Solanum lycopersicum: one gene and its partner. The protein of the gene in region 2 interacts with the protein of the main gene of each other region in a pairwise test. Links are inferred from orthologs where the notes say so. Each region holds a gene or a part of one and is shown on either strand. Other genes may lie near its edges.

What was found. The genes of interacting proteins can lie anywhere in the genome.
Region 1: the proteins of protein BREVIS RADIX (region 2) and B3 domain-containing transcription factor NGA1-like interact in binary tests that used the Arabidopsis thaliana proteins (3 or more experiments, as listed by UniProt). The link is inferred for Solanum lycopersicum from reciprocal best matches to the Arabidopsis thaliana genes BRX and NGA1.

Annotation. Positions count from the first base shown.
Region 1 is NC_090807.1:68,078,334-68,082,628, reverse strand, and holds the start of B3 domain-containing transcription factor NGA1-like, read right to left. Parts: upstream 2,813-4,295; 5' UTR 2,480-2,812; coding exon 1,384-2,479; coding exon of another isoform or gene 1,343-1,383; exon of another isoform or gene 1,192-1,342; intron 941-1,191; coding exon 876-940; 3' UTR 844-875; intron 1-843. UniProt on the Arabidopsis thaliana protein: Regulates lateral organ growth. Functionally redundant with NGA2, NGA3 and NGA4.
Region 2 is NC_090807.1:62,148,366-62,152,790, reverse strand, and holds the start of protein BREVIS RADIX, read left to right. Parts: upstream 1-1,613; 5' UTR 1,614-1,921; intron 1,922-3,929; 5' UTR 3,930-3,965; coding exon 3,966-4,082; intron 4,083-4,425. UniProt on the Arabidopsis thaliana protein: Acts as a regulator of cell proliferation and elongation in the root and shoot. Regulates roots architecture and primary root protophloem differentiation.

The sequences.
Region 1 (4,295 bases), about 5.9 Mb from region 2:
AATGAAAATATTCAGAATAAGGTGGGAATGGCCTCCGTGGTGGACAAAATGAGAGAGGCAAGATTGAGATGGTTAGATTATGTGAAGAGGAGATGAGGGGATGGGGTGCAAGAGGTTGGTTAGAGGGTACAAGGAGAGGCAGAGATAGACTGAAAAAGTATTAGAGAAAAGATGAATGACACGATATGACTCAGCCCAAGATTATTGAGGACATAACTTTAGATAAGAGGGTGTAACGGGCATGTATCAGAGTAGAAGGTTATAGTAGGTAGTGTAGTGTTGTCGTACGTAGAGTAGTCGGTGTTTGTCATCGTACTATTACTAGTACTCGTTTTTTTATAACCATCAGTATTTATTATTGTTTCCATTACTCTATTTTAATATGTTGTGTATGGTGCTTCAATTATTATGTTATTTTGCTTTTGCCACAGTAAAATTTGATTGTTTTTATTTTTTGTGACTTGATATGTTTATTTTTTGTTTTTGTTTTTGGAATTGCTTAAGCTAGGTTCTTTTGAAAACAGTTTATATATCACCATGACGTAGTGATAAAATCCGTGTACATTCTACTCTCTCCAACCCAACTAGTGAGATTCTATTGGGCATGTTATTGTTGTTGATATGTTAGCTCTTTTCTTCTTCTTTTTTTTTTTTAGAATAGAAAAGGCATACAGGAAAAAGTTACTAAGATTTTAAAAAAGAATAATATATATGAATGACGACTAGTGACTAGTGAATGAAGATATTAACTATACATAGATATTAGTAGAAGTAGCTGGTAGCTCGTATGATCAGTTGATGATAGATGGCCAAGTTAGTCAAGATGAAATGTTATGTACGTACCTTTTATAAAAGCTAGCTAGCTAGCTAGCTAGCTAGATCTGAAGCAACCGCAGTACCTGGGGGGCGTGCCCAGTGAAGCAGCGACAAGAACAAGAACCTACCAAAGGTAATAAAAACAAAAATTCATGAATGAATGATGAAAAAGAAAGCACGACTTTTGATAATTCCCTTCGGATCCCATCATTCATTAGCCTGAGTGAGGAGCTAGCTATGCATTCCCACTGCTAGGAAATCAATACAGCAAAGTTTGTTAGATCGAGAGAGATAAGGAAATATATTTTTTTTTTTATGAATATAAGTATATAGAAAATATATGTAGTATTCTTCCTCTTGTTGAAAAATCAAACATAAAATAACCTGATATTTTACTAGTATTTGCAAAATATTTCAAAATCGTATTATTACACAAATTTAACTTGGACACTCAAGGACGGGATTTCTTTGTGCGGGATGGCCCGTACCAGTCCACCACTTAGGTTAATTCTCTTCAATTTACACATCAAATGTCCAAATCCAAATTCAAGGACATGGATGCCTTGCCTTTGTCAAATGATTCTTCTTCGGTGGCTGCCGGCCGGTTGGTATCATAGTCGTTAAAAGTCCTGAATGATAATGATGAAAATTGGGGGACATGAGAATAAGTTGTTGTAGCTGCGGGATTAGGCAAGGAAGAAGATGAGGACGTGATTTCACATGAGTCTGAGATGGGACAGTCCATATTCACACCGAACAACCTGAATCGCTTTGCTGCTGCCTTGCCTTGAACAACTGGTACGGAGTCGAACACCACTGGCTCCACAACCCTGCCACTAGTACTACTATTACTGTGACCTCTTAATTGCATTAACCCAGCCTGCTGTGGAACTTGGGCTGACCCCGATCTGAGATAAACTACTGATCCGCTCGGACAAGGGTTTCCATTTACCACGGTTGTACGGCTGTTGATGAAATTACAAGTGTCATAGTAATAATTAGGACTGGATCCGTGAGATTGTTGTTGCTGAGACATGCTGCCAGGTGCAGGTTCCAGGGAATATTGTAAATGTGATTGGTCAGGAGGCTGCAAAAAGAGAGGACGATCCCAAGCAGCAGCTGGGTACTGAATATTAGAGCGGTACAAGTTATTATGGAGATGATGATTAGTCATGAAGTGGAGATGATCGGGGGCGTTTGGACGGCGCTTCCAGTCGATGAAGAGACGATCCTTGCCCAATTCACCGACTCCACGCTGAAATGAGACAATATCCCCAGCATCGAGCTTCTTCTCCTTGACGAAGCGGCTCCAACCTTTGGTCATTACATAGCTTTGACTGCTATTCCAATAGGAATACCTGAAGCGCCAAGGCTTTCCGTTCGTGTCTTCGAAATTGAGAAGGAGGCCTTTCTCGTTGGTAGAGGAATCCAGAGGAAAATACTTTTCTGCGTGCTGTTTGGGGATGACTAACCGATTGAGCTTGCCGACGTCACTGGGAGTGACTACCTTGTCGAACATGTGTTCTCGTTCAATCGTGTTACTTTCACCCACTTCATCTGCCATATCACTACTATTAGTGGTGCTTCTTTGCTGATGGGAGAAATCAGGATGAGAAAATGGGCCTTGATCGTTGAAGCCACGTCCATCTGAGAAGAAATTCATGATTTAGGACCCAGCATAGATCTAATCAGATAGGACCCAAAAAGCGTAGTTATTAGTGTGACTGGCTAGGGTTGAAAGAAAAAAAATATATAATTATTTTTTTTGTTTTTGTCGTCGTTCCGTGATGACTCTCATTAATTATCACCCATTCCGGAGTAGTCAGATTCAAAAGCCGCCTCTTTCTTCTCTCTTCTTTGTGTCTGTGTGTGAGAGGGAGAGGGAAAGAGACAAGGTACGTGGGTAATTTGTCTAAGTGGGTGGAATCTTCTTTTTTTTTTTTAAGTTAGGTAAATTTCATCCTAGTTATTCTCTTTTAGACTTTCTTCCGAGTTCATTCGCTCGTTGGGTCGGGGCCCACAAATTATCTGGTTGGGTTCATGTGAGCTCGTCCTTGTCATCGTCTCAATTAAAGTTTCTTTAACTCCTATTAAACAATATAACTGAACTCCTTCTCTCTAACTATCTTAACCTTACTTTTACTTCTTTTTTATTAATTTTAATTAATAATAAGGGATCAAGTAAACCTACAAAACTCACACATACCGTAGAGATTCACTGTGAGGGTAAAATTCGATCCAATAAACTAAATCGGAATGATTAAATAATTCACTTTATTTGGTTTTGATTCAAAAAATAATTCAATAATATCTTAATGAGTTAAACAAAACAAAAGAATATACATATCTTTATTAAATATACATAATATATTAAGTTTTATGAATAATTTGAATATCTTATAGATATTTATGAAAGTGAAAAAAATTAAAAGAAAAAAGTCCAACAAAAGGTCAATTAGAATCTAAGCCGAAAAACAAAAAAAATATATAACAAAAGCAATATTTTAATTTTAACTTTCCATGTAACATGTTTAAGATCACAAGATTAAAATAAAATTTTGATATATAACTTTAATTTAGAACCACAAAATTACAAATTTTGATTTCGTTTCTTAAACTCCATTTCAAGTCGAATTTGATCATCCTTTCATGAAAGGGATAAAAGTCTTCCGGGTTTTCAAGGTCATAACTGGTGGTTGATGGGTTGCTTTGTTATCCTATATTTGCAAAATAATTTGTTTTTTTCTATTATTCCACTTTGTATTTTATTTTCGTGTAACATTAGTAATTGATAAATAATATATATAATTAAATTAATTTTATTTAAAATTTTGATCAACGACAAAAACTCAAATCGGCCCATAAATACCTTGTCTAAGGTTAAAACGTTGATGAAAGTGCCACTTAAGTACTAGGGATGGCAATGCGGTGAGACAGGAGTGGAGTGGGGCAGGTCAAAGCTTTTGTGGGTGTGGAGCGGACGGGGCAAGGCGAGATTGGTTTAGATAGATTTTTTTAAAATTCAAGTGGGGCGGGGCGGGTTTGGGGTTTGAAAATGAATATTTTAAATTCATAAATTCACACATTTCATACCAGTTTTGCACCTTTTGGGCACTGCATATGATGAACAAAAGAGTTTATGAAAAAACCGTTTTGAATGGCCAAAAACTAGAAAGAAAAATAAAGTTACTAGCATTCAGTATTTTATGTAATCAATTCAAAATTATCAAAAAAAAAAAAGTTACTGACATATTTAAAAGAGTATAATAAAATTGCATTATAGTTCTACACTAGCCTATTAATTTTAGCAGTTACATAAACATATGAAGCAATTGATAAAGTAGAATTATTAAGGTAAAAACAAACTGTATTCAGTATTTTAATATTTTTAGAAATTATGTAAGGCAGGTGGAGTGGGTTTATGCGAATCGGTGCGGGACATGATAAAAACAACAAATTATATTATGTGGGACAGAGTG
Region 2 (4,425 bases):
TGAGTTATCTACTCCCGTATTGATAAATTCATTTTTTTAAAGTACTCCTTTTATGTTTATTTTACTCGTCAAATTTGAATTGAATACACACCCTTAAAAGAATAATACTGAATATAATTATTTTACCATACTATTCTTATTAATTAATGTTTAATAAAATTAAAAGATTATTTTTGCGATTGAATTATCGAACTTAGAGCCTGTTTGGCTCAGCTTAAAAGCTGGTTTTTGACTTATTTAGCTGTTTGACAATACTCAAAACAGCTTATTTTAAGTTAAAAAAAACTTATTTTAAGCCAAAAGTTAAAAGCTGGTGTTGGGGTGCTTTTTTTCCCAGCTTATAAGCTGTTTTAAGTTGACCACATTTTTACCTTTTTGCCCTTAATATTTTTATACAATCTCCAAATTATCCACGTAACCCTAACATCTCTTTCTTCTATTTTTCCCTTTTCACGTGTGGATAATAGACAATTACTATTACTAATGAATGAAAATAAAATAAACCTTAAATCTTTCAAGTGATCTATTCAAATTATATATTATTAAAATGTAAAATAAGTTGCACATATAACTTAAATAAAAATTTATATTCCTCTTATAAATAATTTGTGATAATAAAGAAATATGTGAATGATAGACAATTATTATTACCTATGGATGAAACTAAAATAAAATATTAAATCGTTCTTTAATCTATTCAAATTATACATCTTTAAAATCTATAATAAGTTTATATTCCTCTTATAAATAATTTGTGATAAGAAATAAATATGTGAATGATAGCAAAATATAATTATTTATGGCTATAAAATATAAATTAATTAACTTTTATTATGTTAACAACTTTTAAGGGTATTTAAGACATTTTGATTTAAAAAGCTGTTTATCAGCACTTATTTGCCAAACACATCAACAACTTTTTTTTTAACTTCAGCAATTTTATCCAAACGCACAACTGCTTATTTTAAAAATAAGTTTCAGCACTTTCAAAATTACTTTTTTAAAGCTACTTTTATTAAGCTCATTCAAACGGGCCCTTAATTTTGAATAAGTGACTGAGAAATCACTTCCAGTTCACTTTTACTTTTTCCTCTATTAAATAAATATGCTCAGAAAAGCAGTAAAATAAGTGGAATCAAGCATGTAATAAAAGTAATTCATTTTTAAAATTAACGTTTAAATTAAATCGGAATTAACAACACGAAAATAAATTACTTTTTTTTATGACAAAAATTAAAAGACAATGATTTGATTGTTCTTTGATCCAATAAAATTAATTTCCTAATTCCCCAAACCAAAATATTTATTAAAATTTTTTCGAGGTTGACCCACTCTTTAATAATACTTCTAATCAAATCAAACAACGCCACGTGTACAAACCTCGACATATGGGCCATCATGTCTTCCCCAATCAAGACCACATTTGATCCATTTGTCCAAATGACAAAACCCTTAATAAAGTCCAAACCCTTAAAGCACAATGTACAACCAAACAATGCATTGTACCCCCTTTATATCCATTATATAAATACACGGTTTCCGTTATATAATAACGACAGAATTTGACGGCGTCAGTTCCTCCTATAAATACCTCTGCAAATTTTCCAATGTTGTTTTCTCTTACTTTGTCTTCACTCTATTTTTGTGCTTTTTTCATTACATTTACATATATTCTCCATCTTCTTTGTTCTTTCTCCCTTCAATTTTTGTTTGTATTTGAAATTTTATCAAATTAAAAAATTGTCGCCGGAGACTCGCCGGCTCCGGTGAATATTTTTCTGGTGATTTGGTTATATATTTCTTCAAGATTTGCAAAAGGGTATCCAAAAATAGCAAAAAGGAAGAATTTTGTTGAAGACATTTTGAATATTTACTGAAGGATTTAAGCTCAGTTTCTGCAAATTTTGTTGTCCATTCCGAGGTATGAATACCCTTACAAAAAATTGCTTTTCGATTTGCTTATCTTACTTTTCATTTTAGTTTTTTTAAAAAAAATTCGACAACTCTTTATTTAATACGTACATCTTAACAGTGGCGTAGCCACATATAATGAAAAATGGTGAATTAAACACCCTACAACGGAGACTTATATTATATATATATATATATATATATATATATATATATATAAATTTATTTAAAAAATATATTAATTCTTGAATGCTTACCGTGAAACACATTTTACAAATCTTTAGAACTCGTTTGGAATGATTTTTCATTTTTAAGTTATAAGTAAAGAAAAAAGCTATAAGGTAAAATTATGATTTTGTCTGATTTTAGTTTAAAAACTAAATGTTTATAAGCATTTTTACTAACTTACACAGATGCTCTAACAATGTTTGAATCTATTACCTCGAAAACATATAAAATAAGTCAATACAAACAGGTTTTTAAGACTAAAACTATGAGATTTAAAAATATTTTTCAAATCTCATAAATATTATTTCGAGTCAAAATCAAATAAACAAATTAAAATCGACACATAAAACTAATTTTTTTTTTGTTTTGGAGGGTTGGGTCACTATCAAGAGTGTTTGTCTGTATGTAGAATCAGTGGCCGCTTTCAAAACTCGACAATGTCTATTAATTTATACAGCGATTTATCATTCATTCTATACTCTGCTCCTACTCCTATTTTTTTCCACTTTTTTTTTTTTACTTTTTTATTTTATTTTTAAAAAATATGTTATAATTCATTAATAATGATGAATTATCTGTCAGAAAATTCGGCTCTGGTCATTGATAATTTTTTTTAAAAAAATTAAGGTCTGTTTTTTCTTCTTCTTTCTTTTAATTATGAATTTTCTTTATTTATCTATACATTAAAGCAATGTTACAGAATGAGTTTTTTTTTTTCTCTCTTTAATATATTAACAAACACATACTCTTTTCCCTTTCTGTTTTAACTTCTTTTCTTTTTGTCTTTTGGTAGATAAATTACAACATTCATGTATTTATTTTTTCATTAACTTCATTTTTAAAAACAACTTCTTTTATCTATAAGATAAAGCTAAGATATACGTATATTTTATATCATACTTTGTAGGACTACATTCGGTATACGTTAGAGTTTTCTTCTAATATTTGAGTTATTTTTCATTTAGAGAATTCGATTAGGTCAAATGAACACTGTCCTCAAGTAACTGTTTGTGTGTGTATAAGTATATATATATATAGGTAACACAGATCCCGCTTTTTTTTTTTGTTTCAGTCAAAAATCTATTGAAAATAATCTTTTATGTATTTCCAAAGTGCGATGTATATTCAAATTTCTCTATTTTATGATATCATACTAAATTCGTTATTGTTGTCGTAGAATTAGTATTAAGATTGTCTGGTTTTTATGTGACTAAAAATTGTCAATGTTTTACATTATTTTCCAAGAAGAAAAACAAAAAAATGTATACTAAATTGTTTCTCTCACTTTTCATTTTAATTTTGTTTCAAACAAACTTTGCTTTTTATATTTAGTAAACTTTTTAAAATTCAACATCTCATCTAACATACATAAGTTAGATAATAAGATTCAAATTTGCAACTTCTGTTAAATTATGCTAAAATTATAATATTCAAAATTCTCTCTCACAAACGTAACGAAATATCCGTTTTTGTTATAAATATATGTTTAGTGAATTTTTTTTGGCATAATACATATATTGGATCCTAAATTTGGCTTCAAATTTTAACTTTGACATTCAACTTTCATAATGTACAAACAGACACTTTAACTATCCAACTTTTGAATAAATAAACTCATGAGTCCTACATGACACAATACATGTAGGACAAAAAATGACATGTGTGTATTTGTTCAACTTTATACATGTTTAAGTGTCTATTTGTGTACGCCCAAAGTTAAAAAAGACATAAATTTAAATGTATTATATCTTTTTTTTTTACTCTTAACTCATTTTAATTATTTTTTGTAGGAGAAAAGATATAGTAAGGGAGAGTGTAGGAGAAGGATGTTGACATGTATAACGTGTAAGCAAAAGATAGAAGATGATGGAGGTGAAGAAGGACCTCGTGGCCGTGCTCCTACTCCCCATACTAAAGATTCCATCAAAAGCCTCACAGCACAGGTACTATTTTTCTACTTTTGAAATTTCATTATAATAATCTATTTCGAATATCATATTTCATTATTATTATTAAGACGTTTGTAGTTTGAAGACGTGATTTCCAGCTCCGCGAGATAGTGATACAATTGGTATAAATTTTCCCTCTCTCAGATCCTACTTAGTGAGATTTTACTGAATATATTCCCGTTACTGATAGTAGTGAAGGCACGAGTGAGACTCTTCACTATTCAATCAAACCCTTCATTCGAGTTTTGACCCTCATTTGTATGGTTTAGAGAGGCTTATTTATCTTATAATTTCAGATGTTATTTCGATTTAATAATACCGTTTATTATATTGAATT